Rattus norvegicus: one gene and its partners. Each later gene encodes a partner of the first gene's protein in a complex. Links are inferred from orthologs where the notes say so. Each region holds a gene or a part of one and is shown in the gene's direction. Other genes may lie near its edges.

The links.
Region 2: Ppp4r3a (region 1) and Ppp4r4 share a complex: the UniProt entries of both Homo sapiens proteins name them as parts of the PP4 complex. The link is inferred for Rattus norvegicus from reciprocal best matches to the Homo sapiens genes PPP4R3A and PPP4R4.
Region 3: Ppp4r3a (region 1) and Ppp4c share a complex: the UniProt entries of both Homo sapiens proteins name them as parts of the PP4 complex. The link is inferred for Rattus norvegicus from reciprocal best matches to the Homo sapiens genes PPP4R3A and PPP4C.

The regions. Positions count from the first base shown.
Region 1 is NC_086024.1:126,043,009-126,046,659, reverse strand, and holds part of Ppp4r3a (serine/threonine-protein phosphatase 4 regulatory subunit 3A), read left to right. Parts: intron 1-33; coding exon 34-150; coding exon of another isoform or gene 151-189; intron 190-1,989; coding exon 1,990-2,121; intron 2,122-2,221; coding exon 2,222-2,324; intron 2,325-3,651. UniProt on the Homo sapiens protein: Regulatory subunit of serine/threonine-protein phosphatase 4. May regulate the activity of PPP4C at centrosomal microtubule organizing centers.
Region 2 is NC_086024.1:128,500,972-128,504,622, forward strand, and holds part of Ppp4r4 (serine/threonine-protein phosphatase 4 regulatory subunit 4), read left to right. Parts: intron 1-492; coding exon 493-598; intron 599-1,957; coding exon 1,958-2,105; intron 2,106-3,651. UniProt on the Homo sapiens protein: Putative regulatory subunit of serine/threonine-protein phosphatase 4.
Region 3 is NC_086019.1:190,827,651-190,831,401, reverse strand, and holds the start of Ppp4c (serine/threonine-protein phosphatase 4 catalytic subunit), read left to right. Parts: upstream 1-1,154; 5' UTR 1,155-1,306; intron 1,307-1,340; exon of another isoform or gene 1,341-1,505; 5' UTR 1,506-1,569; coding exon 1,570-1,667; intron 1,668-3,751. UniProt on the Homo sapiens protein: Protein phosphatase that is involved in many processes such as microtubule organization at centrosomes, maturation of spliceosomal snRNPs, apoptosis, DNA repair, tumor necrosis factor (TNF)-alpha signaling, activation of c-Jun N-terminal kinase MAPK8, regulation of histone acetylation, DNA damage checkpoint signaling, NF-kappa-B activation and cell migration.

The DNA.
Region 1 (3,651 bases):
GATTAAAAGAGACTGGTACTTTTTCCTTTGCAGGGCATGGATGATACACAGGTGCGAAGTGCTGCTACTGATATATTCTCATACTTGGTTGAATATAACCCATCCATGGTACGAGAGTTTGTCATGCAGGAGGCACAACAGAATGATGATGTAAGTAAGAAGTTAACAGAGCAAAAAATAACCAGCAAGGTAAATATTATTTACACTAATAGTATTTATGCATAGGAGGCTTTAGCTGGGGTTATGTATTTTTTAAGATCTAAACTAATGTGCTTTTTGGGAAGGGGTAGCCATAACGTCAGATGGCTCACTCTTTCCCTCAGTTTCCTCTGCCTTAGTTTATAAATTTATTGTATTTGAAGTCAGCTTTTTTAATTGTGAAGTTGACTTGACTGTAATGATTTATTTAGACCCTTAAATCAATTGACCATTCTGAATGTGGACGATGAATAACATTCATTGGAAAGAACTACCAGAGGTGGATTCTCAGAATTCATCAAGAGGAAAGAGATAAAATATGGCCCCTGAAAACTATTAGGGAGGAATAAGAAGCAGCTATTGCCTGTATGCTGTGGCTGCATTTAATCAGAAATTAGAGTCAGTGAATTGGCTTTAAAAGTAGCTTAGACTGGTAGTGTACATTGAGTGTGTAGTACATGATATGTGAAGAAGCCTGAATGTGTATGTTCTTCCACTCTGTTTTTTAAACCAATGCCTCTGGTTTTTGGTTTTTGGTGTTTGTTTGTTTTTTCTCTTTCTAAATTTTTGGAAGCTACTTTTTACTCATTAAGCTATCTTGAATTCCTTGAGAATGGGAAAATGATGTCTCTTTTAGGGGAATGGACTCTGCAAAATGTCAGCTTGCAGTGTTTCTTACAAAATGAAACAGCTTCTATTTTTAAAAATCTACTGTGCCAGATTGAAGTTGAATGCCTAGTAATGTCTATATTTATGTTTGTTTTCAAAATTATAGTGTAGAGTATATGCAGAGCTGTATCATGAATTACTGAATCTTTATATTTCTCTTCTATGAAATAGTCCTATCTTAAGAACCAGAATATCTTGAGTAATTAAAACTAAAGGCTATTCTTGTAGGCCCTGTAGCCACTGGGTGAGCAGACATGCCTGTGTGTCTTCACACTTCACAAACATGCATAAGGCCTCTGGATTTCATTTTCCAATCATTTCCATATACTGTCTGTATTTTCTTTGTCCTTGTCTGTTTTACCCTAGCATATATAGGCAAATGGACAGAGTTTACTCGCTTTACCTCCCTCAGTTTTTCTTTGTCCTTTGGGCCAAGAACACCATCCCTAAAAGGTCCTTAGGAAAAACAGAAGTTGGTTTTCTTTGACATTTGGAATCCACATAATATACTATTGTTCTGTACACTCTAGTCTCCTTTTATTCAATTTGTTATTTCCATAAAGGAAAACTATAAAAGTAAATGCAGTGAAACCAAAGCAGGCTTATAAATTCTAGCTAAGTAGTCTTAACATACATACATGAAGCCATACATGTGAAGCTCATGAGCTTTCTACAAAAGGTCGATGAAGTTAGTACAGAAGCAAGACATTTTAACACCCACCCTGACCTTTGTGGTTTGTTTTGTTTTGGTCCCCCCTCCCTTCTTTAATGAGATGAGTTTAAAGGTAATAGAAAAAGCCAGAGGTGGTGGCACACTCCTTTAATCCCAGCACAGGGGAGGCAGAGGCAGGCAGATCTTTATGAGTTGTGCCTTTTAGTTCTAGGCCAGCCAAAGCTGCATAGTAAGATCCTGTCTCAGAGAGTGGAGGAGGAGGACTTTTAAACTTCTTTTGGTACTATTTATTGTCTTTGAACCACCATCAGGCAAAAGAGACACTTCCATTTATCCTGTTAAATGATCAGTCATTCTTTTTTACTTGAGGTTAACAAGACAGCTAGAGGTAGCGGTAATGCCACAATATCTGTCTTAGTAATCTGTATTATGTGTATTTTTGTCACCAGGATATTTTGCTCATCAACCTCATTATAGAACATATGATTTGTGATACAGATCCAGAGCTTGGAGGAGCAGTCCAACTTATGGGCCTGCTTCGAACTTTAGTTGACCCAGAGAACATGCTAGCCACTGCCAATGTGAGTCATAGCCATTTCTCCTTTTTCATAGTAGTATCTGTTTTATTGCTAGTAGGAACCAATACAGTTAAAGTTCATCAAAGTATTTTTGATTCCATAGAAAACAGAAAAGACTGAATTTCTGGGTTTCTTCTACAAGCACTGTATGCATGTTCTCACTGCTCCCTTACTAGCAAATACAACAGAAGATAAGCCTAGTAAAGGTAAGATAATACAGCTTCATAGTTTTCTTGAATTGTGAAACTTAAAGCTGATGTTGAGTAACTAGATTTAAGACATTGGGTCTAGAGAAATAACTCAAGGGTTAAGAGCACTGGTCCTCTTCCAGAGGACCCTGGTTTGATTCTAAGCACCTAACACAGCAACTAACAACAGTCTTTACTCCAGAAAGACTTTACCGGCTCATGTAACACTCTCTTCTGGCTTTCTGTGGGCACTGCGCACACACACATGGGCTCAGAAATATATTTAGGGAAAACACTAATGCATATAAAATAAAAAATAGAGCTGGAGAAATGGTTCAGAGGTTGAGATCTGATGCCCTCTTCTGGCCTGCAGGTGTATGTGCATGCAGAACATTGCATACATAATAAATAAATCTTTTAAAATAATAAGTCTCTAAAGGGAAAGACAGAGACAGGGACACCAGGATACATCCTAAGAAGGAGGTAACAATCTTTAAAGTTTTATAATTAGATTGAGTGAGATTTAGTCATGTGTTTTCAAGAGACTTTTAAGGTGAATTTTGTTTAAAAGCACCATAATCGCAGCTAACAGAAAAGTACAAAAGAAAGTAATTTGTTTTCCTGGTCAGTCAGTCAGGTGGCTGATTGATTGAGAGATATTGTTAAGGGATCCATGTTGGTCTCAGGTCTTCTTGTTTCAGCCTCTCCAGTGTTGGGACAAGTGTGTGCCACAGTAAATAGCAAACTCTTTTCTTTTGTCTTTTGTCTTTTTTTTTTTTCGGAGCTGGGGACCGAACCCAGGGCCTTATGCTTGCTAAGCAAGCGCTCTACCACTAAGCTAAATCCCCAACAGCATGGCAAACTCTTATAGCAAACTCTGGTAGTTTATTCCTTGGGATGGGGTGGGGATAGTTTTAATGTCATTGGGAAATAGCTGTTGAGGCTCTTATCTAGGAACCCATACATTATTTTCCCTTAATTTTACAATTCAGTATATTTAATTTAAGACATTCAATTTATAGTATTATTATTCATGTATTAATAAAAACTGTAATAGTGTTGATGTATGATTATGAAAAGAAAACTTACCTTTTTTCTCTGTCTCTGAAGTGCTAGAATTTAACATGCCCAGCACATTAAATAAACTCTTGTGTAACCCTAGAAATCAAATCTTTGAAATACCATCTTATTTCTGTGGGTGTTTATTCATATTGGATAAAATTTGAGGCCCGTTTCCAAATTAACATGTTTAAGACAACAGAACTTGTAGAAGGTACTGTGCTATAATCAATGGTTGTAGAAAAAACTTTTAGAGACTTGCTGACTCTAACGAATAAAGATTAAT
Region 2 (3,651 bases), about 2.5 Mb from region 1:
TTTTGCATAGGCATGGGAGCTGGAGATCCCTCAGTGAAGAACATTATCCTAGACATTTAGTCTCTAGTCCTAGATATACCAGTCCCTAAATTCCTCAGTAGTCAATCTGAACATGGATTTCTACATTTCTACTTTAGAGGTTACACGGTTCTGGTGATGTAACTGACATGTGCTATGTTCATCAGAATGTTTGTCAGATATGTGGAAATCATTAATATTTCTGAGGAACATGTCACTGAAGATGAGGTAGCAGGGAAATGATAGTCAAACACCAGTCACCTGGATGTGACTGTGCAGGATTAGCCTGTCAGAGGATATTTTATGTACCCAGGTGATAGTAACATTAAGTAGTAGAGATCCTTCCAGAAGGGTGTGAGCTCAGGATAGTGAACATGTCTCATTTAGCAATTGCTTGATATTGGTTTGGCAGGGAGTAATTGTTGAGAACATACCTTAGGGTGATGATTATCCTTCTTGTTTTATTTCTTTAAGAACGTCTTACCTGTCCAAAGAGCCGCAGCACGAACTCTGTGCATTTTTCTACGATATAATCGCAAACAAGAGCAGAGGCATGAAGTCATTCAAAAGTTAATTGAACGTAAGCAATGATTTTGGAAAAAAGTTACTAAAATAATTGACCTTAATTAGATCTTTAATGCATTGTATGTAATTTTTTGAAGCAAAATTGGACTGATGTTGGTAAAAATCTGGTGTGTGCTTTTATTTGAATTTTGAAGGTTAATTTGTATTTGTCTTGGAAATCTTTATGTCAAAATTTCATAGATGAAAATAATATTTAACCAGAGTGGCCTTTTATGAATTCCAACACTTGAGAAATTAAAATACGTAAATGTAAGTTGAAAGGCTAATTTCTACCTTGGTGAAATAGCATTCATAAATCTAATAATTTATTATACAATGCTGTTCTCAGTATGTATTGAATGAATAAAATGTAGGCTTATAATTTTTTACTGAATGGTGTTAACAGCATTGGTTAGCAGAATGGTGTGACTCTAGTGAGCTGTAGTGGTTTAGAAACTAGGTCAACACATGCAAACTTATTGTGATTTGTTAAGGGCTAAAATAATGGCAAAAATCTTTAAGGTGTTAATCTGGTAGCAAATATATACATTTGTCTAGTGAGCTTATTAGTCACTGACTACTTGGCTTTGACTACAATTATGCTTAATTGGTTTTTAATAAAACTATTATCCAGACTTCCTAACTACTATAATTTATCATTTTAATCAAGAAATACCACATTTCAGGTGAAAGAGTATTTTATGAAATTCTATTTAAGAACAGTTAGGCTCAGTATGTTTTGCTTTTTCTTCCCATGACCTGATTTAGTTCTGTTTTCCTTTTGCATGAGAAGGGTCTTCCATTCAGAGTACGTTGTTTGATTTTTAAAGATTCTGTTTGGTCTTAAGTATTAAGAACATTGCCTTTGCTCATTTATGTAAAAATGAGAAAATTATGCTTTGAATACTGACCTATAGTAATTGTGTTTACATATGACTTCTCCACTTCAGACACCTTTAAGGAAACAAAAAGAGAATAACTAGTTTAATTTTAAAAGGCTTGGAGAGCCTGCGTTTGAATTAGTCCAAGAGTATGCATCCCATCATCCTGTTTTCCAGGTATAAAAACGGTGTGTGTACAGGGTCCTTAGCATGTAGGTGGTGGCCATTCATAGTGACCTCATCATTCAGTCATCACAGGTCATCCCAAAGTGGTTCTTGGTGTTTTGTATAGTAACACCACTTCCTAGTTTTTGACATGTAAATATTGTAGTCTACAAATCTAGAGCACATAATGACTATTTTTCTCTTATTGATTATATTTGTTAAATAGATTGCAGATAGAATTAAACTTTACATACATTTTTGGTGTTTCGTTTTGTAATATATAATTTCATGTAGGAAATACTGTATTATGGTATTTTTGTTGTTTGTAGAGTTGGGTCAAGGAAAAAGTTATTGGAATAGACTTCGCTTTTTGGATACCTGTGAATTTATCATAGAGATATTTTCCAGATCATTTTTCTGCAAATATTTCTTTCTACCTGTTATTGAACTAACACATGACCCAGTGGCAAATGTGAGGTACGTATCACTTTTCAAGGTTTGAAAATGTTGCATTTCTCATTTCTATTGTGGTAAACATTTGCAAACCCTTTTTCTTAGTTAATCAAGTGAGGAATTGATGCTTGCTCTCTGTTATTTTTGAAGCTTAACTTAATAGTCATACAAGTATGGGGTATAGCATGATAATTTAATAATTTGGGTATTAGATGTAACAATAAAATCTAGGTAGTTAGCATTTTCATTTCCTCAACTATTTGTCATTTCTATGTGCCCACAGCCTTCAGCCTGGTCTTCTAGTTATTTATAAAATGTACAGTAAGTTGTTGTGAGCTGTAGTCAGAGTGCAAGGCATTCCTCCTATATTAACCGGCTTTTGGTGTTCTTCGCCTGCCTCCTTCCAACCGTCCTTCTACTGCTAAGAAGCACCGTTCCATTGCTCACCTTTTTGGCTTCCACATCTCAAAAGGAACGGGCAATATTTATTTCACTGTAGGGAATGCCTTCCTGTTCATCTGGGTTGCAGCAGTGTTCCATTTTCTGTTAGCGCTGAATACTCAATGTATTTATATACCATGTTCTCTTCACCCAATTGTCTGTTGATGGACATCTCAGTTGGCTTCATGGCTTGGTTAGTAAATAGTCTTGGGAGACAGAGTCACTCTCTTCACTGATATCTGAGATCTTTTAGCTTACTGGGCTGAGCAAGCACAAGTCAAGGCCAGCCTGCCAGCCTGGCTCAGCAAATGTCATCTGTATGATAAGAGCCTTAAAAGTCTTGTTTACCAAAAGCTCTAGTCCCTAATTTCAAGAACTTTATAATCTTGTGTGCCCACGAATCAATGTTTTCTAGACATACTTTAGGTGATAAAGAGTGATTTATGCTTTGTGTGCTTCTCAGGTGAATGGTTTAACATTTAATTTACTGAGTTTAGACACCGTCCAGGCTGGGAAAATCCTGTTGCTATTCAGAGGAACCTTTTCTTCCGTGGCCAGAGTGAAGGAAGTTTTCTGGAGAGGACTTGAGAGTTCTTAGTTAAAGCGTCCCCTCTATCTGTGCTGAGCAGTGAGTGAGTTAGAGCCCTTGGTGTTTAATGTTGAGAATCCCAGAGACAGCTTCTTCACCTCTTCAGATGCACAGAGCCAAGGGCTATTGTGTAGGCAGTGCTCTCACCTGAAGGCCTGCAGACAGCATCCTGGCAACCCTTGGAATGGGATGTAGGTGCCTCAAGGTTTGCAAAAGCAATACAGAGCATTAACCCGGAGAGCACATGATGAGGGAATGACTGCAGGGGCTGTAAGGCATCCCTTTCCAGAACTGGCCTAAAAAGAGGCAGAGTTGGTGTTTATCAAAGCAGAGCACCTCAGTGGCAGCCGTCCTTCCCCGGGATTCTGTTCTTCAGTCCGGGTTCTCTGTTCTCCTCCCTGAGCCTCCCGGTTTCTTCTTTACCCAGCTGATCTGCACAGTGGCGGTACCTTAGATGTTTCCCATTCTCCTCCTCTCTCACTGCCCCTATGCTAAGTGTCTTCATCCTAGGCCTAAACTGTCAGCTGCAAGCCTTCCTCA
Region 3 (3,751 bases), on another chromosome or scaffold:
TGTGAGCTGCCATGTGGGTGCTGGGAATTGAACCTGGGTGGTTGGCTAGAAGAGCAACCAGTGTTAACCACTGAGCCATCTCTCCCACCCCTTAAAAGACGATCTTAAAGCACATAAAACTGTTCAAAATTAAGAGGGACAATAGAATATTGAGGAATATGGTGAGCAGAAGAGATTAATAACCTACTCTGCCTACAGCAAAAGGCAAAGAGAAGGAAGAGGAGTACATGTACTGTGAATTTGGAGAGTGTCAGGGTCTTATATTTTGAGTTTCAGCAACAGTAAATGAAACGTGAAAGCCAGGCTTGAAAAACCACTTTTCCTGGATTCATGTTTGAACCTTGGTTGACGTGAGCAAGCTAGTCTTTGAACCCATCCATTGCCACCTTCAAGGAATATGTTCAGGCAATAGGAAGTAATGCTGGGTGTGGTTGCTTAACATCTGGGCTGAGATTCGCTGTGAAATCTGGGCTATTCTGAGCTACAGTGAAACCCTGCCAAGAAAAAAATGTCAACTATTTTGGAATTAAGGGAGTCAAACAAGCTTGGTGTCCAGAGAGTGGGCACTTTCCCCCAATTAAATTTAAACCTCTGTGTTTTCTCTCATCACCATATGGGTCCTGGGGATCCAAATCAGGTCAGTCGGGCTTGGTGGCAAGTTCTTTTATCAGACATATAATCTTGTTGTTTTTTTGGTTTTTTTTTTTTTTCTGTTTGCTCATTTGCTCTGTAGCTTTGACAGCCTAGAATCCACGATCCAGCCTTAGCCTCCTAAATTCTGGGATTACATATAGGTGTGCTACCATGTCTGGCTCAGGTTCGGAGTTCCTCCATGGCAAGGTTTCTCTGGGACTGTGGCAAGAAATGTGGACTAGAATAGGCCCATTCATTGAACAACTATTTACGCCTATCTGCAATGCTTGGCCTTACTCTAAACACCGGAGAAGCAATGATGAACAAGGCAGTTTTATCCGTTAGATCTGTAATAGAAGCAAGATAGAAAGCAGCCAAGGGAAAACTGTAACGTGAGGCGAGAAGCCTACCGGAGCTCACATGACCTGGTGTATATAACTGAAGTACAGCTATACTAGCCTCCAGCTCACTTTGCCCGCCCACTTCCGGCTCCCTCGTTTCTCCTTCCCGATGCCTCGAAAGAGGCGTGACTTGTATATGTCACTTCCGGCGCGCGCGAGAACAGGTTTCCCTTTGCTTCCGCAGCGAGGCCGGAAGTAGAAGCGGCGGTGGCGGAGGCCCAAAGCGGAGGGAAGTGGGGAGTCTGAGAGACTCAGCTGGAGTCTCAGCGGCGGTAATTGTCCGAGGCCCCTCTAGGCCACCGTCCTTAGCGCGGGCCCGCGGGGTTCGACGGGAGTTGGCGGGGTGCGGCCAGGGCAGCGGGACGCGGAGGGTCCTGGACCGCCGTGAGGGGAGGGGGGGGCGGTCCCAGAATCGAGTCCCCCCTCCCGCACGGACCCTCTGATTGGCGGGCTCGCCTTCGCTTTTCCCAGGAGACCCCTGTGCGGTCCGGAGGGGGCGCCAGCCCCGACTCTGACCCGCGCCGGGGGGTGGGCCATGGCGGAAATCAGCGACCTGGACCGGCAGATCGAGCAGCTGCGGCGCTGCGAACTTATCAAAGAGAGCGAAGTCAAGGCCCTGTGCGCTAAGGCCAGGTAAGCCCGCAGGAGGGAGGCCAACCCGTGGCTCAGGGGTTTCGTCTGGGCGAACTCAGCTGAGAACTTAGGGTTTGTCATATCCCGGAAGCGTTCCCGGAGAGATGTCCCAAGAGCCACTTCCCACCAGGAACCATGGGGTCGGCTATATGTGTGTTTCTAGTGGAGTAAGAGCGAGTGGCAGGAAGTTCTAGGAAACTCAGGGAAAACGGCTTGCTCTGCTGGGGCGAAAGAGAAAGTTTCTTGGAGGGGCTGAGTTTTGGGACATGTCTTGAAGAATGAGGAGCTCGTTCAAGGCAAGAAAACAAAACGTGATTTGCGAAAGTCTCTCAATCTCATCAATCCTTAAAAGAGAAAGTAGTTTCGTGTCCAGTTTAACAAACAAGGACTACAATTGTTCAAAAGTACCAGCAAGGAAGGAGTGGAATCTGAAGCCAGTTCTCTGACTACAGATCCTTTTAGTTATTCTGGAAGATGAAGTCGAGCCAATTTTGTGTTCAGTTAAGATCCCAAGGAAAACAATTAATAAGCTAGAATAGCACATAATGAGTCTTAGACTAGCTTGGTTTACTGAGTTGAGGCCTTTTAAAAAAAGTAAGATTAAAAAAAAATACAGATCACAGCCTCAACACAGTAGTAATCCTAAGCACTTGGGAGGCAAAGAGAGAATGAGGGGTTTAGGGTTATCCTCAGCTAGGTCAGGGCCACCACATGAGACTCTGGCTCAGAAAGTGAAGCCAAGAAACAGTGATGAGGATATGGAGAGAGGCAGTGTTTTCTGGGAAGTAGAGGAAGTTGTAAATCAGCATCCCAGTTTGGGGGTGCAATGACTGTGGCTTTGAATCTGAGCGCTGGCACTCTAGGTGGTGACTTGGAAATGTCTAGGACTCAACAAAGTGGAACAAGTTGTGTTCAGTAAAATGGTTGTGACCATTCAGTGAATCTGAGCTGGAAGTGAACTCAGCACGGTGTTTGGGTACTCTAAGTTATGAGATGGTGTTTTTATGCTGGAAAGGACAATAACGGTGTATTCAAAGATTGAAGCTTGGGAGGGGGGCGTTTTTTGTTTTTGTTTTTTCTGAGACAGGGTTTCTCTTTGTAACCTTGCCTTGTCCTAGAACTCACTTTGTAGACCAGGCTGGCCTTGAACTCAAGAGACCCACTTGCCTCTGCCTCCCAAGTGTTGGGATTAAAGACATGTGCTACCACCACCGGGTGACCCAGGTGCTTCTTAGGGTAGACCTTGAAAGATATATTCTTTTTTTTTTCTTTAAAGATGTATTTATTTATTATATTTATATGAATAACACTGTAGCTGTCTTCAGACACACCAGAAGAGGGCATTGAATCCCATTAGAGATGGTTGTGAGCCACCATGTGGTTGCTGGGATTTGAACTCAGGACCTCTGGAAGAGCAGTCAGTGCCCTTAACCACTGAGCCATCTCTCCAGCCCGAAAGATATATTCTTGACCAGCTGACAGAACACAGTGAGGAGTAGTCGAGCAGGGTAGGAGTAAATGTGTAGGCAATAGTTGAGGCTTGTTCCGGCTCCTCTGGAAACTGTTTCAGTGTGGCTTCCACCCTCTTAGTAGACAGTAGCCTGGTCCTCACTCTTGCCCACTAGTCCTGTGAGGCTGGGAGAGTTATGTGTGTATGCCTGTCTGTCTGTCTGTCTGCCCATGTAGCCCCAGCTGGCTTTGAACTCAGAGATCCATCTGTCTCTGTTTCTCAAATGATTCTTTCTTTTTACAGAGTAGGAAGCCATGACTTCTAGATACCAGTGTCTTGATGCAGGCTACCCATTGAGGCTGTGACAGCTGGTGTCCTAGTTTACTTTCTCTTGCTGAGCTGCATCTCTAGCCCTGTTTGGTTTGAGGTCTTTGTTTTGGAGACGGGATCTTACTGTCTCTTAGGCTGATCTGGAGCATGGAATCTTTTGTCTCTGCCACCATGCCATTGTGCCTGACTGGTTGAGGTTGTGTTTATTTTCTTAGACAGGATGCTCACATCTTAGGCTGGCCTTGAACTTGCTATATAGCCAAGCATAACCTTGATCTTTCTGACTTACATACCAAGTACTGGC